Rattus norvegicus: one gene and its partners. The protein of the gene in region 1 purifies or fractionates together with the protein of each later gene. This does not show direct contact. Links are inferred from orthologs where the notes say so. Each region holds a gene or a part of one and is shown on either strand. Other genes may lie near its edges. The genes, in order: Ppm1k, Bckdhb, Dbt and Bckdha.

Region 1 (7,724 bases):
ATACATTTTCTGGTAATTATATTAAAATGCCTGCTTTAATCAGAAAAGGGAAAAGCATGGATAAAGTGTACTCCATCTTCTGTAGTCATGCTGAGTTTGCTCTACTGAAACACAGCATGTACAATTGGACTATTTTCCCATTTATCTCTTGATTTTGGAACAGTTAGGTCAAAGCATTGTTATCATGGCAACGTGAAGATATGTCAGTGCATGACATAAATGTTTCAACAAAAACATTAGTGATGCTTATTATTACAAGTGTTTTAGCTTTCAATTTGAAATTAGTCAAAAGACCATACCACAATGGAATCTTAACAGGTCAATCAACTATTTCATTTTCAAATTATTTTAAAAGGCAGAAAAGAGAACATAGGAATTTATTAGATGCTACCAGTCCAGGGGATCCTCTACTCTTGGTGTTAGCTGTCAGCAATGGGCTTTTAAACCGTTTAACATTTTATAAATGCAATTTCAGTTTGGGTTGTAGTTCCCAGCTCTCTTCCCTCTGAATTTAAAGTGTTTGGGGTTTTCTCAACTCACCTTCACAGTTTCAAAATCTGAGGATATATGGGGAAAGTGTTAAGAGGAAGCATTGCTTCTGGCTATATTTTCATTAACTTAGAAGTAAAAATTCTCACTTTCTGCCTCCTAGCAACAAAACTATAAAACTATGACTTCTTTCACTGAGCCTTGACACTCACTGGAGAATTTCTTCTGCAAGTCATCTCAACTAACGGGACAAGGAGGACGCGGGACCCTTCCAGTAGTTCAGACTAGGAACTGTGGACTCCTTCAGCTGAGACAAAATTAAGCAGATCTCTCTTTCCACTGAAGCCCGGCATAGAGCGTCCACAGGCTCCTGGTCTAGTTCTCTGCCACAAATAACACGCACAGAGGCAAACGGGAATTTCACCCGGAAATTACGCTCAGACATAACAAACCTGCAACACAAGGGAGAGCAGAGAAAGAGCTGCAAAATAAGGAAAGGGTTTCTATTGGTGAAGACTACACGAGCAAGTCACATAATATTCCAGGAGCTGCCAAGTCAATGAATTCAAAACTCAGTAGCTTAGAGTTAATAATTATTGATCATTCCAAGAGAGAGAAAAAGGTATGAACATATGCATCTGTAAGAAATGAGACCAGTGGTGACACTGACATGCATCTGCGTGTGTGCAGACGCATGCATGTGTGCATGTGCACGTGTGCATGCGCACGTGCGCACACACACACAAACACACACACACATAATAGCTGGTCTCAAACACAGGAAAATCAGTATTTTAATTGAGGCAGAAAAAATACATTATAGATTTAGTTTGTAGCAATATTAGAACCATCCCCCTAAACAAAATCATTTATATTTGTTAAGTAGTACATAGAGAGTGTATGTGAACTATAGTATATATTAGCTGACTAGGGTTTCAATAGACACAGAGAAGGACAGAGAAGGAAAGCAGCTCCTATGCCAGAAACAGGACATAAGGCATTTGTTCACAGCATATTTGCTCACAGTAAGACAGCAATTTAGCACGGAGAACTTTATCCAGTTGGACAACTTAAATTTGCTGTTCACAGGTAGGCAGTGTGGATCTTGACTGATAATACATATTTATATATTTATGTAATCCTAAGTATTTCTGCTGTTCTTTCTCTCTTTTTCCTCAGTGTTGTAGGTCAATAGAAGAGAAGAAAAGTAATCACAATTTGAACAGCAACAGAAAGAAAAAAATCTAACATCACCCCCCCCAGTGATTATTAAGCTGTGTAAATAATAATCCATATCAGCCAATATTAATATTGCTGAACTATTTATTAGAAATGGGTGTTCTTAACATGTATGATTCATGAACACTAAAATGAAATAAACAACCTGAAGCAGTTCACAACACAGTAAGAACAACTCCTCAAGGCTGTTCACATCTGGTGACCTCCAGCATAAGAGGAGCATTCAAAAATACTGTGCCCAGCTATAGGTACAGTTCAGTGGCAAAGCACTTGCCTAGCAAGCCCATAGTCCTGGGTTCAATCCCAGCACAGAAAGCAAATTTGCCTTTATAGCTCTTGTTATGTTGGGAGTTTAGTTACCTACAAAAAAGAACACAGAATTTGAGGCTCCCACACAGCGTGCCCATCGATAGCGCCCACTCTGAGTCTGAGCAGTTCTCCTCCTCCTGATGTCATCCTGAGGAGCGGTGCTGCTTTCCAAGCACAAGCACAGCACGCGTCAAGTACCTATAGGGTAGATTGCATTATGATCTGAGGTTCCCACCATCCACTTTGTTAAGTGTCTATTTGTAAGAAATAAAGTGATGGTATATTAACTAATTACTTGGCTTCATCAGACATGAAAGATGTGTGACATAAATCAAATTTAAACATCTTGAAGGTGATGCCAAAAAGGTTGGAGACTTAGCTCAGTGGTAGAACACTCGTCTAGACTGTATGCATGAGGTCTGTTAAAAAAGGAATCCGCACTCCTTTACAGGAAGGGCTCAACAGAAGTGAAAGTAAGGCAGATGTAAAGAAATGAGAAAAGACAGGAAGTAGAGAGGGTAACTGTGGTCCTATAAAATGTATGCTAGCTACCCATGACTCTGAAACACTGCTCCCCCAACATAAACACATGTCTGTGCGTGCATGTGCGCGCGCGCGCACACACACACACACACACACACACACACACCAAAAGAGTACTATCTACTTTTAAAATATTGATAGTGCTTCAGTATTTCAGTTAAAATTTTACATTTCTTAAATTTGGATAACTTTGAAACCGTAAGAGATAGAACGAATTCTTTCACTCCAATCCTGAAAGGCTAGCATATAGTTTCCTATCTTCAGTAACTTTAATATGCTTGATAAATAGTTTCCTAATGCCATCTGGAAGATCTGCACAGATAATCTTTAAAATAGTCCCCAAAACTCTGATTTTTAAAAAGCAGAAATATGCACACACACAGTGCACAGCAGAACTGTTAAAACACTTTTTAAACATAGCATTACCATACACTGCCCTATCTTGTTTTCTCTCATACTTTGCAGCAAATGACCATTAAGAAGCAGAGTAAGTCTTAAGACATCTTCATTTAGTTCTGAGATTATCCCAAAGTGTGACAGGGGAACTAAATTAAGCAGTCTAACCTAATTTTACTATTAGAAATAAATGATACTTTAGTTCTTTATTTAGCTGTTTGATCATGTGAGTCAGAGAGTCTCATTAAGATACACATGTTAAATGTTATAAATTCAATGACTAAAGATAAGTGTTTTAAAATTTGACACCAAGGCTAGTATTGATGATTTTAATCACCAACATTGATTAGATCAATTTTTACAAAGCTTGTTTGCCCATATGTAGGGTTAATAAATCTTAGTGTTGGTCACGTGCCAATGTTCTTGATTACTGTATTCTATAATTCATAGGCAGTAAACACCGCTATCTGTACAATAGCTAGGGCATAATACTGACACTACAGCCCACAGTGCAGTGATGATGCAGTCAAATTCACAGCCAACCTAGCAGTGGATAAGAACACAGCATAACCACTGTTGTTAGGAAAATGCTAGTTGTAACAGTATGCACTTTTCTCTGTGAGTTTGAAGCCAGCTGGGATTACACAGTTTTAAGCCAGCCTGGGCTGCTTACTGAACCTTGCCCCAACCTACCCCCTTAAAGTAAAACTGAGAAAGCGTTTCACTTCTTCTTCATGTGTTAGAGCAAAAGTTAAATTTTGAGCATAAACCTCACCCTCTGTTAACTCCTCTTTAAAGAGGCAGAGAGGAACTTTAAGGCGAGTGGTGTCAGAAGAAGAAGACAAAATAGTTTCAAATAATCCACCAAGTGAAAACTTTATCTCTACAATATGGAGAAAGAGTGGATTGGTTATAAGGTGTTCCTGGGGAGTGTGATGGTAAGGTCTCAGCAAACAGGAAGGGGCTGGAGGTGAAGCTCAGTGGTAGAGAGCTCTTGCTATTAAATATGCAAATGAACACGGCCCTAATCTGTGAGTGAAATGGAGAGAATTTCCATCCAACTGAATGGTGTTTCTGTGGCGCACTTTTCTTATTAAAGGTAAAGACAGAACTAGCTACGATCAACATTCCCACACAGCCCCATGCCTTAGGAGGCATACATTGGATGGTGGCTGCAGAAGCTTTGAAAGTTAACATTAATAGAAAGACATTTTTGGTGAGCTAACTGAAAAATCCTGGACATATTTTCCTGAAACTAGAAACATTAATTTTTAAACCTTATACACAGTACACAAACTTTTAAATCCACCTGCCATGTCCTGCCTTGTTTATACCCAACAAAAACAAAGATATAGCTAGTTACCACAGGAACGTTGCAAGCCTGAAAAACAGAAGACAAATATTCTCTTCTGACTATACAAATGGATGCCAATTAGCCACTTTCTATCATACTTAGGACCGATTGCTAACATCTCTTTCTCCCGCAAATTATTTACTTTGTGTGTGCATGAATATGTCTTCACTAAGTGTATGTATGAACGAGCACAGCACATGTGTGAAGGTTGGAAGCCAATATATGGAAATTGTTTCTCTCCTTTCACCTTGTGAACCCTGGGAATAGAATTCAGGTGATGAGGCTTGGTGGTAGATGTCTTTACCCACTGAACCATCTCTCTGATCCCCTATTTCTTACAGTAATGCTGAGTGATTATCAACCTATCGGATGTAATTGTCCTGTAGTAGTTTCATTCGTGGTGAGGTGGTGGTGGATGGGATTCTCTTAGTATGGACATCTTGTCCATAAAATTACAAATCAAATAGATTGAAACATTTAAAAATCTTTTTAAAATTAAAATTCAGTAACAACCATTTTGGAGCTTTCCCTTCTACAAGGGTTTGAACATAAAAGTGAAACATATTATTGTTAATTATTATAATTATTATTTAGTTCAGATTCTAAGCAGCATTTAAAAATGATTCTTTGTAAAAAAAAAAAAAAGAAAAAGAAAAAAATGATTCTTTGTATAAAACTATTTCTACAAAAACTCCTGCCACTAAAGGCCTACATTTTTTGTCTTGACGTGTCAACCCTCAAAGCTCTGAGGAATGCCATGGCTCACTTACCATCAGCAGACAGGTGGGCATAACTTGAAAAGGCTTTATCTATTTCTAGAAAGGCCAAGGTCAGGACAGTTTCCAAGTCTTTCTCCCGAGGAAGCAAATCCCTTTGTGGAGAGGAAAGAAAACCAATCATTTTGAAGTAGGTTTCTCTTTCCACAGTCAATCTTGCATCAGTCAAGTCATACAACAGACCTCACAGCTTTCCTCTCGGGTGCTTTCACTGAAGATCTAAGGATCCAGAAAGATTTATTGATCTTGGAAGGTACTAAGTATGATGAACTGAACTGTGATACTCTTGGACTGAGGATCAGGCCATTATACTCTGGTGCTTGGCTTCATGCATGCATACACACACACACACACACACACACACACACACACACACACACGAAAAGCTCAAGGACATCCTTGTTTGTCACAATCAGGTTTAGCATAGTCTGGGATTATGTGACTCTATCTCAAAACAAATAAACAAGTCTTTCTGAAGACACAGTCAAGCGGTAGGGGCTTTGCCTCACATGCAAAATAAGTAGAGAAAACAACCAACTCCAAAACCCTCCTTATTCATTTTGTATGTTTTCATGCTGTGATGTGTGTGGAGGCTAGCAGACAACTTCTTTCAGGTAGATCTCTTCATCTATTATTATGTGAGTCAAGCCAAGCTTGAATTCAGGCTTGGTGATAGGTATCTTATCCTCTGAGCCATCTCACAACCCCAAAGTCCCTAGTCTTAAAGAATTCTTGGGCTGGAGAGATGGCTCAGTGGTTAAGAGCACTGACTGCTCTTCTAGAGGTCCTGAGTTCAATTCACAGCAGCCACTTGGCTCACAACCATCTGTAACGTAATCTGATGCCTTCTTCTGGTGTATCTGAAGACAGCGACAGTGTACTCACACAAAATAAATAACATGTTAAAAAAAGTTCATGACTGTAACTGCCACACTGTCTCCTTTCTCTAATTCTAACAATATTGTGGTCCTCAATAATATAGTTAAGTATGTTGACTTGAGTGAGAATAGCTCTCCAGGTTCATACATTTGAATGCTTGGTCCCAACTTGGTGGAACTGTTTGGAAAGGATTAAGTGTGGCCTTGATGTGGATGAGGTGTGTCACTAGGTAGGTTGTGAGACTTCAAAAACCCACACCATTCTCCAACACCATGCTTGCCTACCTGTCACCATATTCCCCACTATGGTCATAGACTTTCTTTTGAAACTGTAAGCAAGCCTCCAGTAAACTTTCTTTTATAAGTTGCCTTGGTCACCAGGTCTCTTTATGAAAAATAACTAAGACAATAAGTAAACCTACCTGTGCTGATTAAACTCTTCTTCAGGACTAGGGGGATATCTCTATGTGTAAAGTATTTGCTGTACAAACATGAAGACCTTCATTCAGATCCCTAGCTCCCATAAGAAGACAATGCATGTCTTTACATAGAACCCCAGGGGTGGGCTCATCGTCTAGCCAAAACACTGAGCTACAGGTTCTTTAAGAGACTCTATCTCAAAAGGTAAGGTGGAGAATGATACAAGAAGACACTGATGTTACCCACTGGCCTACACACGCACACACAGACACATGCACACAAGTAAAATTTCCCACAAGTTATCTTTGTACTTTATAATTTACTTGAAATGGATATAAATCTAAGGCTGTAGATTCGGAAATGCATTTCTGGAGATAACCACCAGTTCTAGATGCTATGTTGACTACTACTCACTGACGAAGTGGCCTGTGGTCACTCAAGTAATTTGGTCCATACTGAACGTTTCCAACAAAGGGAGAACATTTCAACAGAAAGCCCAGAGGAACTTCAAAGCCAAGAGGATTATACCTACGTAACACATTTTTCCATGTGTGTGTGACAGAAGTCAGCAGCTGCAGGGCCTCCATGCCCATCATAGACTGCAAAGTATAGCACCTCTTCTGTCAACTGTGCGAACCCAAATCGATCTTCGTTTTCTTTTCGTTTGCCAATGAGGGAGGCACAGCCCACGTTCTCCAGGCTAATTTTGGGAATTGGCTTGCCATACTTGATGCTAGGTGGCAACAGAATTGGCTCATCAATGCGGTTATCCCAGATCCCAAAATTGTCCCAAGTGGCTGGCTGCCCACTTCCGTCCGGATCAAACCGAGAACACCTGGGCTCCGAAATGGAGCAGTAGCAGGCAGGAGTCATCTGTCTGTGGTCCTGCAGGAGGATGGAGCTTAACAACACTCTCTTCTTCACCTGGTTCCTACCACTTCTCACCAAAGTAATGAAGGCCGTTGATAACATAGTGCAACTCCAAAGGCCCCAGTCACAGGGAAAGACAAATAGGGCAATAGTAGAATTCCTTGAAGAAAAAGGATGTACCTAGAGGCGGGGGGAAAGACAGTCACAGTCAGTAATTCAGAATACTGCCAATACATCCCCAGCCACCAGAGACAAAAGCCATAAAAAGACTGACATTACGTGTGTGTGTGTGTGTGTGTGTGTGTGTGTGTGTGTGTGTTAGGTACCCTACATCATCCTCGTCTTAAGAACATTGAATCAAAAATTTACCTACGCTCCTCACAGTGTTTGAATTCGATAAATGTTCGATAATATGCACATACAAACACACGCTTCTCCCATTTAGCCTGC
Region 2 (7,724 bases), on another chromosome or scaffold:
AACAATGCCAACCAACCAGAGCTTCCAGGAACTAAGCCACTACCTAAAGACTATGCATGGACTGACCCTGGGCTCCAACCTCATAGGTAGCAATGAATAGTCTAGTAAGAGCACCAGTGGAAGGTGAAGCCCTTGGTCCTGCCAAGACTGAACCCCCAGTGAATGTGATTGTTGCGGGGAGGGCGGTAATGGGGGGAGGATGGGGAGGGAAACACTCACATAGAAGGGGAGGGGGAGGGGTTAGGGGGTGTTGGCCCGGAAACCGGAAAAGGGAATAACAATCGAAATGTAAATAAGAAATACTCAAGTTAATAAAGAAAAAAAAAAGTACACATCTATAAAAAATAAAATCTATAATTTTAATTCAAAAAAATAATATCCAAGAGCTATGGAGGCAATACTACTTCAGATTTGGGGAAATCTCTCTCTGCTAGCAGTACAAGTCGGTTTTCAAAAGCTAAGTGGAAAAAGTGAAAGAGAAGCCCAGTGCGTGAGCCTCCCATCAATGATAGTGAGCACACACAAACTTAAGGTAACACTTATACCACAGAACTATATATGCCTTAGATTTTTTTTCTTTTTTCTTTTTTTTTTTTTTTTCCAGAGCTGGGGATGGAACCCAGGGCCTTGCATTCTCTAGGCAAGCGCTCTACCGCTGAGCTAAATCCCCAACCCCCGTATGCCTTAGATTTTTAAGTACTTTTTTCTTTATAACCGAGATGCACTTCCTAATTAACCCCTAGAAGTCAGGTACTAGAAGTAGAAGTGTGATATATTTATAATATTTAAAGGCCAGAAGTTTGCCAAGAGAGAAGTAACCTCCTTTCCTTATTTAGAAACAGTTTTTCTTACAATAATGGAAATACTCGGTAACAATGACGAACAACTACTCCGACGACTGACAGGCATGTTCGCTCTGAGTAATGCCCTAACACCGTGCACGACTGTGCAGAATTATCACGACTGCAATAATAATGAGCAGTCACTCTTCTCACAACAGGCTGTGACACAGCAATACACCTAGACGCAGGTGACAACACGGATGAATCTCTGTGACACTAGATTGGGCAAAAGAAGACGAACAATATACGGGAGACTCCATTTCCACAAAGCCCAGCTAATCTAAAATAAACAGGAGCAGCTAACCTAATCGCAATCGGAAAGCTTAGAGCTGAGAGAAGAGACGAGCAGGAAGAAAAGAAGGGGGGAAGGCTTACAGGAGCGAAGAAATGTCCTGCACCTGGTTTTGTGCAGTGGCTACGTGGATGTATGTGGCTGTCAGAAACCCATCAAACCGAACCCAATAGTTGTGTGTTTTCCTGTATATAAATTACATCATAACAAAAACATGTGGCTTCAGATTTAAATGTTCAAAAGTGATTTGCCAGAGTAATGTTCTTGAATTCAGGGTGTGGGAGGATACACTTTAGATAGAATAAATCATTTGATATTTAAATTTTCCATTACAGCTGAGCAATAAGCAGTCACAGATGTGTGTTTATGGAATTGGGATTGTGAGCTAAAGAAAAGGCAACCAGGCATCTTGGTGTAGTGCAGACAGACCCCCAGGGGAGCCCAGTACCATAGCACACCGTTAACAGTACCTGCCTCACCAGAGCCCAGCCTAGAGGGCCTGGGGTCACTTATCTAAAGCAGACTTTCAATGTCATGAAGTCCAACAAGAACCTTCGCTTTCTCCTCCAACCCACAGAACCAGACAGAGCTAAGCATGACCATGTATTCTCGTTAACATTTTACATCCTGCAGTCAAAATCTAACTAGATGTGTTTTTCCCTAATGTTTACATCTGAGGACAAAATGAAGTATCACAGAACTCAATCTATAAGGAAAGTGGAATTCAAGGTTAGGGGAGAAAGGTTTTTAAAAAAATAACTATGTAAAAGAATGTAAGGATAATCACAAAGAGAAAATACAAGGAATCTTTACCTGCTGCCCGGTAAAGTATCTTAGGTTCAAAAAATATACATGGATTTTTATCTTCTATGCATGACAACAGAAGTCCCTTGGCCTGGAAAGGGCTTCTGGGTATAACCACCTGTAAAAACAAACGATTTTAATAAAACACATCCCATTAAATCCACTCCTAAGGTTGATAGTTAACCAATCGGGTGTAACTAATTCAACTAGAGAATGGGTATTTGTATTTACTATAAAATGTACACCTTGCCCCTCAGATAAGCATTTCTAAACTGACAGGCAGCTACCGCTCACCAATGTACAGTACCACGATCCCTTTGTCCTAACGGGCAAACGCAACCTGCACTCCTAAGTGAAAAAGCAACACACTGAACTCTATGTCCTACGAATTGCTCAGAGTAGAGAGAAGCATGGCCATTCCACATCTCCGGTGGACAGGAAAGGGCTCCAAGATCTCTAGGAATGAGGAGGAGGACGGTTGACAGGAGGAGTGCATGAGATAACTTGTCGAAGCACTCTGTGTGGGTCATTTCATCTCTCCTTCACAGGGACCTCAGGAAGCAGCTACTACTCTTGGTCCACTTAGAGATAGAGACTGGAGCATACAGAGAGGTAAAGGCACTGCCCAGGGTCACACAGCCTACTAGGACAGAGATCCTTACTCTCTCCAGATACAAACTGGAGACCACACTCTTGGCCATCAAATCATAAACTCGCATCTAAATTCTCATGATTATAAAATAAATAAGAACAAACTTGAGATTGGAAGGATTATTAGAATAAGCATGAACCTCCTACGAAGATCACAGAAGACTCCTTGAAGCAAACTACCTTTGGATTTCAAACACATTATTGTGGTTTTTGTTTGGTTTGGTTTGGTTTGTGGATCTGGAAGTCCTTAGCTTGCACATACTAGGCAAGTGCTCTCCACTGAGCGACACCCCCAGCCCTTGATCTGCTTCAGAGAAAGCCATACTAGGTAGACCAGGCTGACCTCACACTTTTAATCTTACTGCCTTGAAGGAATTGTGTTATTTTTATTAAAAGAATTTTGTTTAAAAATAAAAAAGCATAAATCTCTCTACTAACCATATCTAACACAATGCCTTCACGCTTCTATTCGTTAGTGTGTCTGTCTGTCTTTCTTCCTTTCTTTCTGTTTTCGTTTTGTTGTTGTTGTTGTTGTTTTTCCCAACAGGGTTTCTCTTTGTAGCCTTGGCTGTCCTAGAACTTGGAAGTCTCCCTGTAGGCCAGGCTGGTCTCAAACTCACGGAGATCCACCTGCCTCTGCCTCCCAAGCACTGGGACTAAAGGTGTGTACCACCACTGTCCTGCCATAAAATTTATTTTCATTTTCTGTACATGAGTGTTGTGCTTGTATATATGTCTTTATACCACAATGTGCAGTGTCTACAGAGGCCAGAAGGTATCAGACACCCTAGAATTTGAGTTACACAAACGGTTGTAAGTCACCCCGTGGGTGCTGGGGTCCAACTCCGATCTTCTTCGAGAACAATTACTGCTCTTAACCACTAAGCCAGATCTCCAGCCCTTGCTTTCTTCATAAGAGTTATTTTTATTACCCTTTTAGAGTAAGTGTGTGCGTGCATGCGTGCGTGCATGCGAGGATGTGTGTGTATTTCAAGTTTAAAAATAAAAAATAGAAAATACAACGGAAGACGAAAAGTTCTGTTGTTTAAAACTCTAGGATATGGTACAAACGCTAAATATGATTAACATCCAGCCCAAACTCAAAAACAAGTGTTGCATCAAAGCGGCTCTTGTCCCAAACTACCCCTGCTGGCTTGTATCAGAAAAGCATACAGACTCCATTCCACTGAGACAACCCTTATTCTTCTGATCCAGCAGAGAAAAAAAAGGGGGGGGGGATGTAAACATTTTTACAACTGGTCTGTGTGTTGTCAAAAGCAAGCATGCCTCTCTGCTAAACATCTGTGCGTTTCTGTGATTCCCTGGAAAGCTGTTTGGTGACTATCAAGAGACAAAACACTCAAAATGTTTGTGACATCCAAAAAAACTTAAAAGCTATTACAAGTGCCAGTTTCAAACAGGAGACTCTTGCAAATGGACTGAGCAATGCTACTTTATTCTAGAACAGAAGATTCATATCTAGACAACAGCCTTCTCTCCAGCTGTTCAGAAACTGAAAACTGCGCTAAAAGCAAACACGAATTTGAAGTAATAAAACAAGTTTTATTAAAGGTACCTCAAAATCACCTAAACAAGGAAAACCCATTTGAAAGAAGAAACTAGAACTCTGGGAGAATGGCATATTCTTCAGCACCTATGCAGTTAATTAATGCCAACATCACGCCAGTGCTGCTTCAGGAGGAACATTCTAGAAAACTGGGCATCAGCAAGTTAATTTAAAAAGAAATGCTAACCTCCCTGTCTCAAATATAGTTAAGTTGATATCAATTCCAAAGTCCCCTTGTTGGTTAATACTGACAGCATGAGCAACGGTGGATACAACTAATAATGATCAAATAAAGAAAGTAAACAAGGGTACCTTGATTCCTGGGCAATGGGCAAAAAAGGCTTCAGGACTCTGAGAATGGTAAAGAGCCCCATGGCCCACACAGCCCCAAGGGGCCCGGATGGTGAGGCTCCCACAGTTGAAAAGATCGCCAGAGCGGTATCGATACTTGGCAGCTTCGTTGACAATCTGCAGAGAAAAGGGACATGCCACCGTGACTCTTTCCTGCCTAATGCATGCCCCAAAAGCATGACGTTGGGTCTTCAAATGCATTCCCACTATAAAATGCGAACTGCAGAGCACAAATAGACAACGATTGCTAAAGGAGGGGCAGGGCTGAGTGGGAGGGGCCCGAGTCTGAACACTGGAGGCTGGCCGGAAGAGATACCCTTCCCAGCAAAGCATCAAGCAACCTACCTGATCAAAGGCAGGGAAAATATAGTCGGCAAACTGGATTTCCGCAATAGCTGTAGCACCAGTGACCGCGATTCCAATGCCAAACCCAACAATTCCTTGTTCACACAACGGGGTGTTAAACACTCTGTCTTTTCCTTTAAAAAAAAGATTAAATAAATAAATAGGAGTATAAATACCAAACGAAAGAAATGCCCCAAATTAAAGCTATGCAATATGTGTCTGAAAGTAAGTGTGATGAAGAAAAATGGGACAGGTAGAGGAAATAATAAACAGCAAAACAGCTGCTTTCAGTACATAACTTTATTAAATAATTAAACATAAGAAACCTACACAAACCAAGTAAAGAAAGACTGCCACACTGAGACTGTCTGAAAGGCAAAACCCAGGTATCTGATGGGAAAAGTGTAAAGCGTAAACTACACAGAAGGACGTTGACATCACTCGACCAACAGCAGACATCAAGAGGAGGACACTGCCAGAGTCGGTAAGGCACATTCCTACTGTCAAAGGGTGAGACGGTAAGGCACCATTCGTACGGTCAAAGGGTGAGACGGTAAGGCACATTCCTACTGTCAAAGGGTGGGCCTCAGAAGACTTCAGAAGACATGCGACAATGAGCGCCCAGCAGAACGGAACGACTGCCGTAACTAACTTAGAACACAGGCGAGTGCGTAAGTCAGCACGGGATCTTTTGAGATACTATCTGGGCAACAACAGAAAAAACTACCACCCCCAAAAGAAAGGGGCTTTAAAAATATTCATATAACACAATAAATATGTGACTTAACTGACACACGCAGTATGTCACCTACAGCACTCACTCCAGGAATACTAATACTAACAGGGATGGGCCAACCATAGGCTGGGCTATCGACCTATCTCAGCGACTGTGTAGAGAGTAAAGTCGAATGCAGCAAGCCTCAAAACAGAAGACTTGAACGTGGGAAAGTGACTTGTTGGGGGAAGTGGTGGGAGGAAGCCGAGAGAAAGGCGAGGGGAGAGTAAGTAGAATGCACTATGCACATATATCTGAAATGGTCAAATTACAAACTCATTAAAATTATTTTACAATGCCAACCAACCAGAGCTTCCAGGGACTAAGCCACTACCCAAAGACTATACATGGACTGACCCTGGGCTCCAACTGCATACGTAGCAATGAATAGCCTAGTAAGAGCACCAGTGGAAGGGGAAGCCCTGGGTCCTGCCAAGGTTGGACCCCCAGTGCAGGGGAATGTCAGGGAGGGGGGTGGATGGAGGGGAACATCCTTATGGGGGAGGGGGAGGGGATAGGGGACTTATGGACAGGAAACCAGGAAAGGGAATAACATTTGAAATGTAAATAAAGAAATATATCCAATAACACAAATTATTTATAAGATCCATTCTGAGTATGTTTTCTGGCCATGGTAGGATTATACTAGGAATTAGTAACAATAAGGAAATCTATATTTGGACCTGTAGAGCTCAGTGGTAGCTCAGTGGAAGGGAGGGGAGGGGAGGCGAGGGGAAAAGAGGGGGAGGTGGGAGGGGGAAGGGTGGGAGGACCAAGGGAGGGTGAGGGGGTGGGTGGGTGGGGAGGGAGAGGGACCGAGAAAGCAAGCTGATTATTTTATTGTTGTTTATTGTAAAATATCCAAGTATAGGCTCATATGTTTAAACACCATCACCCGACCCCACTCCCACCGGAGCTAGTCAAGAATGTGAAACCTTTAGGAGGTGGAGCCTTTCTGAAGGAAACAGGTTACTGATGACAAGCTTTAAGGCTGTGAAGTCCGTCCCCACTTCCTAGTTTCTCTCTACTTGAGTTTCAATGCAACCTGACTAGTCACCCTCCTCCTCCGCCCACACCCCAACTCCTGGCACCGCGCCTTCTCCGCCTACTGTCATGTCTTCCCCACTACAACAGACAGTCCCGCTGAGCTGTGAGCCAAAGCAAACCCTTTCTGCCTCAAGTTACTTCTATCACACTGTTCAATCACAGCCACAGAAGGAAAGGAAAAGGAAGGAGGAGAGGAGAAAAAGGAGAGGTAAAGTTTGTGCTAGATGACTGTTAGATGGCTTACTAAATGCATGTCTATAATACATAGCTCAAAAGTGAAAAAAAAAAAAACTAGAAATGAGAAAACTGTTTGAATTGCGTAACTGAACTCTGTGTCTCCACTTGTTGAACTACTGAAGTAGACTGCAGAGTTGCTTCTTACAAACTAACCCTCCTCTACTTAAAATTCCAGACGAGAAGTGATCAGGTTCAGAGGCACTGGAAAGCTAAAAGTGGGCATTGACTGAACACCTGAACCTTGAGAGACACGGAACAAATGATCACAGTCATGAGGCTTACCCCAAGGGACTCTCCACTCTCATTCAGAGACCACCAGAATGCAGACAGACTAAACTAATGGGTGCCAAAGAGCAGAACCTGAGGCGGATGTGTCCATTAACAAGAAAGTATGTCCCATTTTGGCACAGACCAGCATGTTATCACTGACGCCTGGACCTGTACAGCCCTCTACTAAACACTCATTAGAAAATAACCTCTGGGAGTTAAAAGAGCTCAGCAGAAATTTCTCCTGTACCCACTAAAGAGAAGTCAAGAGTATGGAATCCTAGTCTCTTTAAGTAAGGGCAACTTCATGGAGTTTAAGGAACACTATTGAATGATGAGTAGGTCACCAAAGGAAGTAAGAGGGAAATCCAAAACTCCCTAGAAGTTAATAAAATGGAAAACACAACAGATCAAACCTATGGGATACAATTAAATCAAGAAATCAGTTCCAAGGGTAGAACCTTCTAGCTACAAGTGTCTACCAAAAGAAAAAAAAAAAATCAGAGAAATCTCAGATAACTAAATGATGTCCCTGAGAAACCAAAA
Region 3 (6,909 bases), on another chromosome or scaffold:
GGTTTTCTTTGGACTCTCTCCATTTTTTTTTTATTAACTTGAGTATTTCTTATTTTCATTTCGAATATTATTCCCTTTCCCGGTTTCCAGGCCAACATCCCCCTAGCCCCCCCTCCCCTTCTATACGGGTGTTCCCCTCCCCATCCTCCCCCCATTACCATCCTACCCCCAACAATCACCTTCACTGGGGGTTCAGTCTTAGCAGGACCAAGGGCTTCCCCTTCCACTGGTGCTCTTATTAGGCTATTCATTGCTACCTATGAGGTCAGAGTCCAGGGTCAGTCCATGTATAGTCTTTGGGTAGTGGCTTAGTCCCTGGAAGCTCTGGTTGCTTGGCATTGTTGTACATATGGGGTCTCGAGCCCCTTAAAGCTCTTCCAGTTCTTTCTCTGATTCCTTCAACGGGGGTCCTGTTCTCAGTTCAGTGGTTTGCTGCTGGCATTCGCCTCTGTGTTTGCTGTATTCTGGCTGTGTCTCTCAGGAGCGATCTACATCCGGCTCCTGTCGGCCTGCACTTCTTTGCTTCATCCATCTTGTCTAATTGGATGGCTGTATATGTATGGGCCACATGTGGGGCAGGCTCTGAATGGGTGTTCCTTCTGTGTCTGTTTTAATCTTTGCCTCCTTATTCCCTGCCAAGGGTATTCTTGTTCTCCTTTTAAAGAAGGAGTGAAGCATTCACATTTTGATCATCCGTCTTGAGTTTCATGTGTTCTAGGGTAATTCAAGCATTTGGGCTAATAGCCACTTATCAATGGACTCTCTCCATTTTTATTTTATTTATTTATTTACTGACTAGGATTCCACAAAAGAAGTACACATGCAAAAAGATCTGCCAAGAACTTGACTGGAGGATTTTTAATCCGGGGTAGAGTAGATCTTGATTTGGGGTCAGATGGTTTGTCAAGTTGGATTAGAGTTGAGTAAGGATGCAATGACCTAATCTTAGGTTTTCAAAAAGCATGCGTAGGGCTGGAGAGATGATTCAGAGGTTAGGAGCACTGACTGTTCTTCCAGAGGTCCTGAGTTCAAATTCCAGCAAACACATGATGGCTCACAGCCACCTGTAATGAGATCTGATGCCTTCTTCTGGTGTGTCTGAAGACAGCTACAGTGTACTCATACATAGAATAAATAAATCTTCCCCCCCCTTTTTTTTTTCGGAGCTGGGGACCGAACCCAGGGCCTTGTGAGAATAAATAAATCTTTAAAAAAGCAAGTGTAGAAAAGGAACACAGCCATCTGTTTGGGGTTGCTATAACAAAGCAGTTGAGACTGGGTAACTCTTTTTTTTTTTTTTTAATTTTATTTATTTTATGTATGTGAGTACACTGCAGCTGTTTTCAGACACACCAGAAGAGGGCACCAGATCTCGTTATAGATGGTTGTGAGCCACCATGTGGTTGCTGGGAATTGAACTCAGGACCTCTGGAAGAGCAGCCAGTGCTCTTAACTACTCAGCCATCTCTCCAGCCCTCAAGACTGGGTAACTTTTAAAGAACAAAGATTTACTCCACAGTCTAAGAAGTCTGGGAAACTCAAGTGCCAGTGGCCACATCTGGTGAGGGCCTCTCTGCTGCATCACAGCTCGGTGGAAGGCATCACAGGAGAGGAAGCAAACAGCTTCAAGTCCTACAACCTGTGCTAATCCATTCACAAAGGTGGTGCCTCATGACTTAAGCATCTGACCTGCCAACGCTTTGCCTCTGGGATTACGTTACTAACATGTCACAATGGGGTCAGAGAATGACAGACAGTAAACAATGGCAGAGAACCTTTTACCTCCAGTGAATTTTGTTCCCTGGATTGTTCTTGGACACGATTCCGTGCCACCTGCAACGAACATTTGTCTCAATTTATAAGCCGTGTTCATTCTCATTGGATGTCAAAACAGCTCTAGCACCCGACCTAGTCAAAGGCCATGCCCTCAGTGTGCCCTGAGCGGACGTGACCTCGGCCGCTTCTGTGCTTCCTCAGATAGAATCTACAGCATGTGCCAGGCAACTGTGTTCATATCGGTCTGTCCTGAGAGAGGTCTGGAAAAGGCTGCTCTGTCAATATTTAGCATGCGTTTGCTCGTGTTTATTCACATGTTTTTTTAAACTCAAATCTTACTTGGATCACTGCTTTGTTCTATCTGTGTATAAAAGCACACTGAAGGTAAAGCTGTCTGCAGCATTCAACTGAAGTCCACACGCTCTCTAATATCCTCAAATCCCAGACACTGCAGACAGATCTGCAGAGGGCAGCTAAAGCTGACACCAACACAGGCTTTTGGGGAGACACACTGACACGCAACCACCACAGTAGGAACTGACTGTGTGGGCCCCTGAGATGGCTCATCAGGAAGAGGCTGCTGGTGGAAGGAGGGAAGCAACCCCCATGGGTTATCCTTGGATCTTCATAGACTCACTGTGGCATACATGCCCCCCCAACCAAACAGTAAATACACACACACACACACACACACACACACACACAGAGCGAACTACTATAAGGCACACAGAGTATGATAATGTGGAACTGTTTATTGGCATATAAAGACATCCATAAGGATAAATTTTAAAAAATCAAATTGTAAAATAGTAGATATATTATTTCATTTTTATAAAGGAATACTTATATATGTATACAGACACATATATCATGTTAATAATGTTTAGATTATAGATAGCAGTGTGCTACTCTCCTTGCTATCTATAGTTTCTCCTTCTTCCAACAAAGTCTCACTACATGACCTAAAATGGCCTCCTGCCATGGTCCTTCTTGCCTTTGCCTCCCTCCCAGGTATGGGGATTACAGGCCTACGGACACAATGCCTGTTCTGAATTGGTTCTCTTTTCTTAATTTTCTTTATGTGAAAACAATGGGTTTCGTGATGTGAATTTCTAACCAAACAGTACTCACTAAATTTATAACATAATTCCATTTTGGGAAAAAATCAAGTAGGCATTAAAATGACCCGTTTTTCTTCTGCCACAAAACTTTCATTTAAATAAGCGATATTGTCATGATATATTTAATTAGATAATATTAGAAGAAAAAACCCCAAACCTAGATTTCAAAATACTGAATTTGATTTTATTTGATTTTTTTTTTTTTAATACAGGGTCTCTCTATGTACCTCTGGCTGTCTGAGAACTTACTCGGTAGAGCAGGCTGGCCTCAAACTCACAGAGATCCACTTGTCTTTGCTTCTCAAGTGCTGGGAATAAAGGTTTGCTCAGCCTTGAATTCGATTCATCCTGACGCTATCGGATTAAAGTAGCATTTCTGTATAAACTAATTGTGTGCCCATAATTTCCCATTTGACTCTTCTTATTCATGCTCCTACTGAGGGACGGGAGAACAGAACAGATTCCAAGTCCTTTTCTCATGTTTAGCTGAAGATCAATGAAATCAAAAGGCAATAAATCGGTAAGTAGTAAGAGAAAAATAGCCAGTGATGCTGTATTTATGGTATTTTACATCACAAAGTGAGTTTGCAAAGTCAAGTATTTCCCAGCAAGATGCCAAAGCATTTCTACAGCTCTAGAAGTCTATCCATTTTAAACATTTACTTTTAACAGCCTTTTTGGTTGTAAACTATAATTAAGACCAAATTATAACTTCCCCTTTTAACAAATCCTAATTTATAGCTATAAGACATTTATAGATGATAGTTTACACATAAGGCAAGAGTATATGTCTCATTAGCTGCAGAAATAAACATAATTCCACTTATTTTATAGGGCAGTCGCCTTGATTGTTGGGAAATGAAAACATATTTGTATATAAATTCCTTTCCCCGATTAATTATAATTTAAAAGTTTCATTAAAAAATCAGTCACAAATTAAAAAGAGAGCAAGTGCAGCATCTGCACTGCTATTCACCATTGAGTGACATTATTAGTGACATTGAGTGATGTCGATTTTGTTTTGTTGCTTGTTTCAACTCACTGACCCAATGATCTCAGCACCATAGTGGGAAGCCCCCTCGTGACCTACACAGTGTGATACCCCAGGAGAACCGTTACCCTCCGCTCCTTTTCAGCAGAAAGCCTAATACGTCAGTGATAAATCCTGTGCGTTAGAGCCCTACCAAGGCAGCACAAGCCACCTCTAATGCAACTGTAACAAGAGTCGGTGCTGGCTCAGCCGGGCCTGACATACTCTTTGGAAGTGCGAAAAGTTCAAGGATGTCTGGTTCGCCGTTATTTCAGATCCAGCAGCATGAACGCTGGGTTTTCTAAGTAGGATTTCCACAAGTTAGAGAATCGTGACATGGTGGCGCCGTCAATGACCCTGTGATCTGCTGACCAGCTCACATTCATTATCTGGGCTTTGTAAACATCCCCTTTCTGGTCAAATCGGGGAAGAGCCTAGAAATAATGGAGAACAAGAAGTAAACATGGGTAAACTTTCGTCAGTCACAGTGGAAGGAAGGTCTGACAACAGTGGTATTCGGTTTAGAACACAGCCCTCCCTGCTGACCAGGGGGCGTCCGCCCGGGCTTCTGCAAGTGCTGCCTCCTATTGCCCCAGCCTTGGGAGGTCATAGCCTAAGCTTTAATGTTTTCAAGAGATCTCCCGCCTCACATATAATATTTACATTAAATTTCACCCAGAGTTCAAATAGTTAACAGTGATTAATCTCCGTGCGCTATGACTCTCTTACAGAAAAGAGAACCGAGACAAGGAAACTCTTGGACTCCTTACAGAAGGCAGCAAGGGCCGGATGGGGGTGTGAGAGGAATAGAAAGCAGTCTGATGACTACGGCGGGAGGCGTGACCACTGCCACAGCAGGTGACAGACAACATGTCAGGAAAGGCGGGGTCTCTCCAGCTTCAAACGAAAACCCAAGCCAGGCTGGGCTATCCCGAGAAGCATACACGCGGGCTCTGGGAGTAGCGCATTGAAGGGTTTTTGCCCGGCATGAACAAGTTCCATCTGTGGTATCAAGAAGCAAACGATAAAAAAGCAAAATGCACATAGGAGCCATGGGAAGGGTGCAGCTTAGCAGCTAAGAACAGTTCCTGAGCCAGACTGAGGATTAGCCTTCAGATCCCAGCACCTACGCAGTAACCTGGGTGTGGCCCCACACACCTGTGACCCCAGCACGGGGCAGGAGGAGACAGAAGGGCGGCTCAGGCTTGCTGGCTGCCAACCCAGTCAAAAATCTCAAGCTCTAGGTTCAGCAAGAGATCATGGGTCAAAGGAATGGGTCACAGGTGCAGAGTGACAGAGGGGAACACCCACACGCTTTAGCCTCTGAGCACATGAGGGCATGGCACACGTTCATGCACACACAGACACACAGACACACACACACACAGCAAAAACCCTCGGCTATTAATAAATAAGAAATATACAAAATGTAAGTTCTAACTTATTAGATTTAATAGACAGGCCTGGCAAGATGGCTCAACAGATAATGGTGATTGCTGCCAGGCCACGTTCATTACCTGAGTCTGAACCTTAGAAGGCACATGGTAGAAGGATAACTGATTCCTTAATTACCTCTACATTACACACACACACACACACACACACACACAGTGTCTTATCCCTATACTCCTATTCAAGAGTCCTAAAACATGGCCACAGATCTTTTTTTTTTAAGCCATCTAGATTATCGTTCAAAGTAGAAGTGCCTTCCAAGAAATCAGCCCCTTGCCAGGCATGGTAGGATAGACCTGTAGTCCCAGCAGGTGAATAGTGGGGCAGGAGGACCCAGAATCTGTGCCAGCTGGAGCTGCACGGTGACCTCTGACCTAGTTCAAGAGAAGGGAGGAATGGGTGTACTGAGCTAACCTTCACAAAGTGGGAGATAACCTTCAATCCAAGTCTCCTTCCTGCAGCTCCTCACTACACATACCTTAATGGCTCCCAGGGCGCCAATGGCTACTTCAGGTGGCAATATCACTGGCTTGGCATAGGTTCCACCAATCTGAGAAGAATGAGAAAATGTAGCTTTCAGGGAATGCCTGATAGATTACACGTTGTAATTTACTGGAACATGGGATCGGCAATTAAAGTTACACTTCTAACTGTGCCGAGCATGACTTACTGATCCAATGTTGGAAAGAGTGAATGTCCCTCCCGTGAGGTCTGTGGTACTGAGCTGACCCAAAGAGCCCAGTTTCTGGAGGCGGTTCAGTTCCATGGCGATCTCAAATACAGAGCGCACCTGAACGTTCTTCACGTTGGGGACAATTAACCCCCGCTCGGTATCCATGGCTATCCCAATGTTGTGAGAGGCCTAGGAAATAAAGATTACTCAGTAGAACCTTTAACACATAAGCTAAGAAAAGAGAAACATAACGAAGAAAAGACAGACTCTGCTGCCTTCTAAAACAAAGGTACCAACTGCTTCGCCAATCTAGTGTAGGCTGCTGTAATCCGAATATTCAGGAGGCTGAGGATGAGAGAGTGATGGCTTGAAGCCTGCTTGTGCCATATGGCAAGATCATATCTTAAAAAGCCAAAAGACCAAAAAATAAAAGTCACTATTTTCACTAGAATAGAAGTAACTTGGAAGGAATGGTTTGGGGAGCACAGGGGAACGAGAGAGCAGTGGGTACAGGCGCTGGCTGCCCAATCCTTGGAGCAAGCTCCGGAATCAACTCACGGGCACGTACCACATGCAGACACACATGCCTACCCACATGTACTTTTTTAAAAATCGCACTCTTGGGGCTGGGGATTTAGCTCAGTGGTAGAGCGCTTACCTAGGAAGGGCAAGGCCCTGGGTTCGGTCCCCAGCTCCGAAAAAAAGAACCAAAAAAAAAAAAAAATCGCACGCTTTCTTAAAAGTCCAGAAATTTAACCTTGTGAGGCGATTCTTTTGGGATGCTACATAGAGTGGGTAACTCTTCACTACTTCCCATTTTTATAGTGCCACTTATTTGTTTATTATTTTGGTTTTTC
Region 4 (7,724 bases), on another chromosome or scaffold:
CTCAACTAGCAGGCTGGAAGCCCAGGCCCACAGAGAGCTATGCCACAGGTATGGCATGCATGAGGTTCAGAGTACATGTCCTCACCCTGAGGGATCTGCGTAGCCAGTGGAGAGGAAATGGTGACGAAGTGACGCTCCTTGCAGCCGTAGTGAACGGGCATCTGGCGTCCCTTGCCTGGGTCACTCACGTTGCCGTAGCACTGGGCCATGAACAGCTCCAGCGGGTAGTCCCGGTACATGAGCACACCTGGCAGGAGGAGGTGACTGTGAGTCCGAGAAGCAGTGCAGTGGGGAGGAGCGCCAGGCCAACCCTGTGCACAACCTAGAACCAGTCCCTTCCTCCCCGAGCTTCCACCTCGAAGGCAGTAGCCAGGTCAGGGTGGTAGGGCAGGCCTTTGAGCCCAGCACTCTGGAGGCTAAGGCAGCAGGATTGCAAGCTGAAGCCAGGGCTATGTAACAAGATGATGCCTTGGATTAAAAGAAAGCTAAGAGTCAGACGGTAGAAGGTAGGCAGACTCAGGGGGTTACAAGGACAGGCAGGTCCACAGATAGACCGATCTCAGGAGAGACTTGTTTGGCCCAGATAACCCTTGGTAACTCAGCAAGGGTGAATGGTTTATATGTTAGCCATCATCCCACACTAGTCTTTAAGAGGTGTAACTGAACTTTGAACTTTGCGTATGACAGGGCTGCCCTGCACAGAAAATGGCAGGTGAGGTCTTCTTTGTAAAAATCTTGTTTTCAGCCTTCAAGGTCCATGGTCAGTGAGAGAAGATCCATCAAACTGTCACTCGATATGTGGCTTTTCAGATTTCATCCACGACCATGAGATGCTTAGGTCATGCCCATGTCCCCACCCTCACCCTGATCCCCACCTCCAACTCTTTTGAGAACATCCTCCATTTTCCTTCAGCCTTCATGTTGTTTTCTTTTTCTCTTTTTTCTTCATAACTCACGGGCCAGGCATGGTGGCTCAAGCCTTTAATCCCAGCACTTGAATCAGAGACAGGCAGATCTCAGAGAGTTTAAGGCTAGCCTGGTCGCAACGCGCAGTGAGCCGCTGTCTAAGTCCATATGTGCCTGCCCCTGTGCTCACAGATACAGGGAGCCATCCAGTGGCCCATGGGCCACAACGCTGAGGGGACGTGGCTCTCCTTCCTTTGAGGGTGTCAGCATCCCCCTTTCCCTTCCTTTTCATAGTGCTAGACATGGAACCCAGAACCTCAGACAGGCATGCCAGCAAATATTCTACCACTGATAGAGCCCCAGCCCAAGGCTTTTGTCCCAATGAGAAATTGTGAGTTTTGTGTCTTGAACTAATCCACCTCCATCTACTCATAGAAATAAAACCTTTTCTTCAAATAAAAGTCCTGAGGGAGGCCTCTAGAACATGCCAGAGAGCTGTGCCAGAGGGGAGGAGGCCCCAGGGAGTGTAGGAGGGTGACTCTAGCTGAATCTCCTAGTAGTAGGAGATATGGACCCTGAAGTGGATTCACAGTGGAGTGGTAAGGTCACAAACCCACTCACAAAACCTGACCCAAAATGTGTCATGCCCACAAGATATGCAGGGACAAAGATGGAGAGGAGGTGGGGGGGAGGCGGGGGGGGGCAGGGGGGGCATGGCCAAGAAATGCCTGGCCCAAATTGAGATGCATCCCTTAGGCAAGAACTAATCCCTGATACTAGCAAAGGTGCTCTGCTGTGTTTGCAGACAGAAGCATAGCATGGTTGTCCTCCGAGAGGCTCTACCCTGACTGAGACAGATGAAGACACCCAGAGCCAAACACTGGATGGAGCTCAGAGAGTCCTGTGGAAGAGTCAGAGGAAAGACTGAGGGATCCAAAGGGGACAGGGACTCCATAGGAAAACCAACAGAGACAACTAACCTGCACACATGTTGCATATATGCAGCTTGGTCTTCATGCAGCCCCCAACAACTAGCATCAGGGCTGACATGAGTCTGCTGCCTGTCTGTGGATCCTGTTCACTAACTGGGCTGCCTTGTCTGGCCTCAGTGAGAGAGGATGTGCCTAGTCCTGCAGTGACCTGATGTGCCAAGGTGGGGTGATACTCTGGGGCGATGATCTCCCTCTTCTCAGAGATGAAGGGGAGGGGAGGATGATACTGGGATATAGTTAGTTAGTTAATTAATTGGAGAAAAGGCTCTGCCGGATGATGTCAGATCGACATCGAAAGGTGACTTAAGCCAGAGCACTGGAGGGTCTGTGATTGCTTCAGGACACGCTGGGGCTCTCTCAGCATCACTGAAAGGGGACACAGTGCACAGCCCTGGGCAAACGCTGTGGGTCATGATGTCCTATAGTCCAGCAGAGCCTGAACTCACCCAGAAGCATCTTCATGGCCCCCGTGGTCTCCCAGAGCATGAGCTCACTCTGAAGCAGCTGTCTGTCTGTTCCCAAGCCTCTACTGCAGAGTTGTTCTTCATATGAGAAGTTAATGAGACTTGGGAGGCAGGCAGGTGAATTCAATGACAGCTTGGTCTACAAAGCTAGTTCCAGACCAGCCCTGGCTACATAGTGAGACCTTGTCTCAAAACAGTAACAACAAAAAACAAGGCAATAGGGTCACATGATAAGCAGCTTGTTTGTCTCTTAAGACAGGTCCCACTTGGTGCCCTGGCTGTCCTGGAGCTCACTATGTAGATCAGGCTGACTTCAAAGAGATCTGCTGCCTCTACCTCTCAGCTGCTGGGATTAAAGGTATGCACCACCATACCCAGTGGGCCTGGACCTTCTACATACGTAGGCCAGGCTGGCCTTGAAATTGTGGCAACTCTCCTGCCTCTGCTTCCATACATGCCACCACGCCTTGGCCTTCATAGTCATCTGCCAGATGACTTTGGATGGGCACAATAAATTCAAAAAGGCCTTGCTACACTGCATAGGCAACGATGGAGCAGGGGCTCTGGCAGAGGACGGGGAGCTCCTGCTTTGAGACTTCCCAGAAACTCACAAGGCCCAGGCGCTGGGGCTTGTACACGACAGTCACCAGGAAGGGACAGGAAGAAGGTGCTCACACACACAGTCCCAGGCTGGGGTGGGATCTGTGGTAAGTGCTTGCCTCATATGTGGTCCTAGGTTCCATCTCCACCACCGCCAAACATAAACAAATCCGACAGCCTTGGCTGCGCACGGCACCCAGGCAGATCTAACCTGCACCAGGAAGCGGCAGGTCCCATGGGAATCGCTTTGCTTCAGCACCTGCTGCTGCTTCACAGTCCTGAACAAACACCACACCCTGTCACCACCCCAGTTGGAAATGGCCAATATGGTCATGGGAGGGCAGCCAGAGTGACAGAGAGGGCAGTGACTGGGGCAGACTTTAGTGAAGAGTATTCACTAGCCCTGCTCCTTGGGAGGCAGATAGATGGCCTGGATCCCAGAACCTCATTCTCCCTGATGATTGCTTGGCTTTCACAACTAACAAGGACAACTGCCTCACTGGCTGCGACAAGGACCTCCACAAGCCACCCAAACCAGCTCCAAAGTGCCCACACTCTGCAGCAGGGGACTGGACAAGGAGCTCTGACGCAGTCAGAGACCAGGCAGACCGGTCGCCTGCCGCTATGAAGACCTCTCATCTCCTCACGGCACAGTGCCTTGTTCTTTGGGTTTGCTGTTTTTAAGGACAGATTCTTGCTATGTAGCCCAGGCTGGCCTCAAACTTGCAGTCTTCCTGCCTCAGCTCCCTGAGAACTGGGTTTACAAGCACATGCTATTGTGCCAGTCTTTTCCACCTCCCAACGTGAAGTAGGGTGGCCTCAGTCCTCTTCCTGTACTGTCGCCTCCATACAGACAAGAGCTTATGGGTCCCCAGTGCTTTGGAAACCTGGCTTTCCTTGCTGATGCCTCAACTGTCGCAGACTTATGTCCCGGCCCAGTACAAGAGGAGTCAGGAGCCGGTCTGGCTGTGGACTGGATGCCTAGCTCATCCAAGGAGGTCTCTGTAGTCACCTTGGCCAGCCCCACTTCTGAAAAGTGGTCCCTGGCTCCAATGACGAGGGCCTCTAACTCCAAGCCTTGTGCTAGCTTTATGCCAACTGCCTGTGACTTTTCAGCAGCCAGCTGGTGCTACCACCTCCTTATAGAGGACAGCATGACCAAGTAACTTGCCTAAGATGTGGCAGGCCAACAAGGCTCAGGATCTGCCTGGCTGGTACTGCCAGGGGCACCTTCCTCTCCAGACCCCAAAAAACACATCTCCCGGCTCAGCAGGCCTCTCCCCCAGCCCTCACTGATAGTCAGGAGCTATGCTGCCAGGTCACGTCCCTAGCTCTCCAAGATTCTTGCCTTATTTTCTGCTCCCTGCTTTCCTCCGTACCCCTCTCCCTTGCCAAGAAGCTCAGGAGCTTCCCGCAGCTTCTGCTTCCTGGGGAACATGCACCTCAGAAGAGTGCAGAATGCCCTGCCCTGGGTAAACAGGTGTCCACGGAGCATGCCATGCCCTCAGCCAGGCCTGATTCCCAAGGGTCCTTCCAGCAGCTCAATTCAGTTCAGGTTCAATTCAGGTGCCTCCTTATTGCCACCTTGGAGATGGGAAGGTGGTGGTAGTTCAGAGAGGGCTGTGAGCCAACCTTCTTTGCAAGAGGTACCATCCCACACTTTGTAGAGAGATCTGCCTTGTCACAGCCTCAACGCTTTCAATGCTGCTTCTTGGGCTCCCAAGGCCTTCACAGTACCATGCTGTGGAGCTCAATGGAGACCCCAGAGCAAACTACCAACAGACATACCTGCCTCCCGGTACTGGCCAAACACCAGGTCCGTTCGCTCCAGGGCAGCGGCACTCCCCACATGTGTCCCCTCCTCGCCATAGTTGGTCATGTAGAAGGAGATCCGGCCCTAGGGGGTAGAGGGCCAGAAGCCCAGGCTTGGTTAAGGCTGTCCTTCACAGAGAACCCTGCCTTACTTTTTTGTTTGTTTTACTCTTAGAGACAGGGTCTCTCTATAGCCCTAGATACCCTGACTCACAAAGTACACCCAGCTGGCCTCCAACTCACAGAGATCTGCCTGCCTCTGCTTCCTGGGTGCTAGAGTTAGAGGGGCATGCTGTCGCACCCAGCTACCCAGCCCTTGCCAGTCTTGTAATGATCAGTCACCACTGTGGCCATCACTGTGCTGGGCTGGGTTCGAGGAGCTCCTGCTGGACAGTGAGAGACGAGTGTCAAGACCTTAAAGTAAGCCCAGGCAGTCAGGTGTGGAGATAACCTGCTGCACTGGGCAAAGGCAGGGTGGGTGGGTGGAAGGCCTAGACAGAAGAACAAGGAAAGACACGAGGCCAGAGGGCCACGAGGTCAATCAAGTGAGGTGAGGGGAGAGAGGTGCATCGCACTGTGCTCCAGATCTCTCTGCAGAGGTTCTGCAGCCATGCCTGGGTCTTGGAATCACCTCAGGTGGCTCTGCGGGGAAGGGATGGCAAACAGGAAAGACTATAGTGCCAAGAGAGAGGGTGCCCTGGTCTGGGAGCCAGGGACACAGAAAGAAGGACAGATGAATGAGTCCTCAAAAGCTGAATTACTAGCTCAGAGAGTGACCATCCGTGCCCACTTGGCCTCTCTATCCCTGGGCCGGGAAAATCATTGGGCTTCCCAGTCCCCCTTGCCAGCCAGAGGTGATTGGTCAGGGACAGTTTTAGTCGCAGGCTTTAATAGAATTTGCTATTCTGCATAAGGGAGATGCTTGCTGGCACCACCCCCATGTCCTTCCTGCCTCACTCAAGAGCCAGGATGCCTGGACCTGTAGAAGCCATCCTGTGAGCATGAGGCAACAGGCACAGAGCAAGGGCCAATCTGCCATAGAGGACGAGGCAGAGGGACAGGGTGGGTGCCCAACAGTGCTGTAGCTGCCCACCAACTCCTAAGGGAACATCAGGAAACAGAGAGAAGGCAGGCAGGGGGATGGCAGACAGCAGGTGAGACTTGGGGGCCAGGGTAGGTGAGAAGGGCACTGGAAGAAACGGTTAGAGGAGGAGGGCACGCAGGTCAAGTCTGGACAGGCTGTCTAGCATGGGGTATGAGCCGAGATGAGGCCAACTGGTCTAGGCCGCCAGGATGGAGGTGTGGCTGGAGAGCTGGGGAAGCCCTGGTGTGTGAGGAGATCCAGATCACCCAAGATCATACGAAAGAGCTCTCCCCAAGCTGCCCCTCAGGACTGCCCACCTCTGTGGAGCTCCTGCTCCTGGAACCCTCTTCCCAGCAGCATGGGAAAGTGATGAGAACGGGCTTTCTGTAAGTAGGGAGCCAATTAAAACTTAATTGACTTTCTGGTGCCAAGTGGGTGGGCGGGTACTGGGTATGGAGGGAGGGCCTCATGGCTGTCAAGTTCAGTCAGTGTGTGGGTGAGCCTGAGATGCACCCCAACCTTGGGGTCTGTCCTCCAAGTCCTCCCTGCCTCCTGTTACCAAAGCACCCATTCTGCCACATGCAAGAGATACCCAGAAGGGACAAGTAAGGCTAGTCTCTCTGGCAGCTAGGATGAACACTGACAGACGGCACTCAGGGACTGCCCAAGAAAGCTGGCTCTACAGAGGCACGAGCTGGGGAGGAGCAGAGGCGGGCCGTGTTCGGCCTCCCACCTGCCTTCTGCTTGCTGCCTGGAAGAGACTCCAGCAGCCACCTGGACTATGAGAATTGTAAGAGACCATGAGAAAGGCCTGCATGGCACGGCATGGCACGGCAATGGGGTTATGGATTTTGTTTAATGCTTGCACAATGCTATTTGGGTTTCCAAAAATCACACGGAAATCCATGCACATTAAACGCTAAAGATCCGTGCCCCCAGCTGACTCTGATTGGTAAAATTGCTGGTAGCCAATGGCTGGGCAGAGACAGAGGCAGGACTTGTAAGATTCCCGGGTGAGAACGCGGGGGGAGAAGGTGGAGGTCCAGGCCTGAGGAGTTTAGGATTTATGAGTCGAGGATCGTGGCCCAGGACAGCTGCAGGCCTGTGTCTGGGGTAGCCAGGATAGAATATAGGTTTTAGTAAGTAATAATTCAGGAAAGTCGGAGGGGAGGGTGTCTTAGCAACATGGAAGTTTGGGAGTGGCCTAACCGCCGAGCTGTTTAAGGCATATTAAAATATAAGGCTGCGTGTGTGTGTGTGTGTGTGTGTGTGTGTGTGTGTGTGTGTGTGTGTGTGTGTGTGTGTGTGTGTCTTTCATTCAAGAATCCAGAGCATGAGGGCGTGTGGTAGCCAGGAAGCACGCCACTGCCTCTGCAGCTGCAGCCGCCACTGGGGCGTTTAGAGCAGGTTAATCTTCTAGTGCAACACAGTGAGCGGCAGCAGGACACTGGACAGACCTGACATGCAGGTGCTCTGGGATGACTTCAGGCTCCCTATTCCCCTAGCTTCTTTCATCCAAGACACAGACTAGTCACTTGCTGACTTCTGCTTCTTGACTGTGGTTCTCAAGTTTTCCTTTGGCATGGGGTAGTCTGTCTCCTGCACCCAAGTACAATCCTTCTGCTCACAGGCCATTCTCCATGTTTGATAAACTCCTTCTGTTCTGGATAGCATGATTCCCATCCCAACACTACAAGGCGGTTACAACACCAGCTCTCGTTCATTGATTTACTGGGTTGGGATGGAGAGGCAGCTTTGAGACAGTGTCTCACTTTGTAGTTTAGGCTAGCCTGGAACTCAAGGCTATCTCACTGCCTCAGCCTCCCAAGCACTGAAATTGCAGGCATGGATCCTCATGCCCGACTT

The links.
Region 2: the proteins of Ppm1k (region 1) and Bckdhb purify together in Homo sapiens (affinity purification with mass spectrometry; 3 studies listed by BioGRID and IntAct, counting the BioPlex papers as one, with this or other methods). This does not show direct contact. The link is inferred for Rattus norvegicus from reciprocal best matches to the Homo sapiens genes PPM1K and BCKDHB.
Region 3: the proteins of Ppm1k (region 1) and Dbt purify together in Homo sapiens (affinity purification with mass spectrometry; 4 studies listed by BioGRID and IntAct, counting the BioPlex papers as one, with this or other methods). This does not show direct contact. The link is inferred for Rattus norvegicus from reciprocal best matches to the Homo sapiens genes PPM1K and DBT.
Region 4: the proteins of Ppm1k (region 1) and Bckdha purify together in Homo sapiens (affinity purification with mass spectrometry; 4 studies listed by BioGRID and IntAct, counting the BioPlex papers as one, with this or other methods). This does not show direct contact. The link is inferred for Rattus norvegicus from reciprocal best matches to the Homo sapiens genes PPM1K and BCKDHA.

The regions. Positions count from the first base shown.
Region 1 is NC_086022.1:88,950,908-88,958,631, reverse strand, and holds part of Ppm1k (protein phosphatase Mn(2+)-dependent 1K), read right to left. Parts: intron 7,455-7,724; 5' UTR 7,377-7,454; coding exon 6,937-7,376; intron 5,202-6,936; coding exon 5,101-5,201; intron 2,236-5,100; exon of another isoform or gene 2,136-2,235; coding exon of another isoform or gene 2,093-2,135; intron 1-2,092. UniProt on the Homo sapiens protein: Serine/threonine-protein phosphatase component of macronutrients metabolism.
Region 2 is NC_086026.1:93,768,075-93,775,798, reverse strand, and holds part of Bckdhb (2-oxoisovalerate dehydrogenase subunit beta, mitochondrial precursor), read right to left. Parts: intron 4,987-7,724; coding exon 4,853-4,986; intron 4,625-4,852; coding exon 4,469-4,624; intron 2,057-4,468; coding exon 1,948-2,056; intron 1-1,947. UniProt on the Homo sapiens protein: Together with BCKDHA forms the heterotetrameric E1 subunit of the mitochondrial branched-chain alpha-ketoacid dehydrogenase (BCKD) complex.
Region 3 is NC_086020.1:207,191,128-207,198,036, reverse strand, and holds the end of Dbt (lipoamide acyltransferase component of branched-chain alpha-keto acid dehydrogenase complex, mitochondrial), read right to left. Parts: intron 6,242-6,909; coding exon 6,050-6,241; intron 5,930-6,049; coding exon 5,858-5,929; intron 4,362-5,857; coding exon 4,194-4,361; 3' UTR 2,509-4,193; downstream 1-2,508. UniProt on the Homo sapiens protein: The branched-chain alpha-keto dehydrogenase complex catalyzes the overall conversion of alpha-keto acids to acyl-CoA and CO(2).
Region 4 is NC_086019.1:90,270,055-90,277,778, forward strand, and holds part of Bckdha (2-oxoisovalerate dehydrogenase subunit alpha, mitochondrial), read right to left. Parts: intron 4,860-7,724; coding exon 4,751-4,859; intron 248-4,750; coding exon 86-247; intron 1-85. UniProt on the Homo sapiens protein: Together with BCKDHB forms the heterotetrameric E1 subunit of the mitochondrial branched-chain alpha-ketoacid dehydrogenase (BCKD) complex.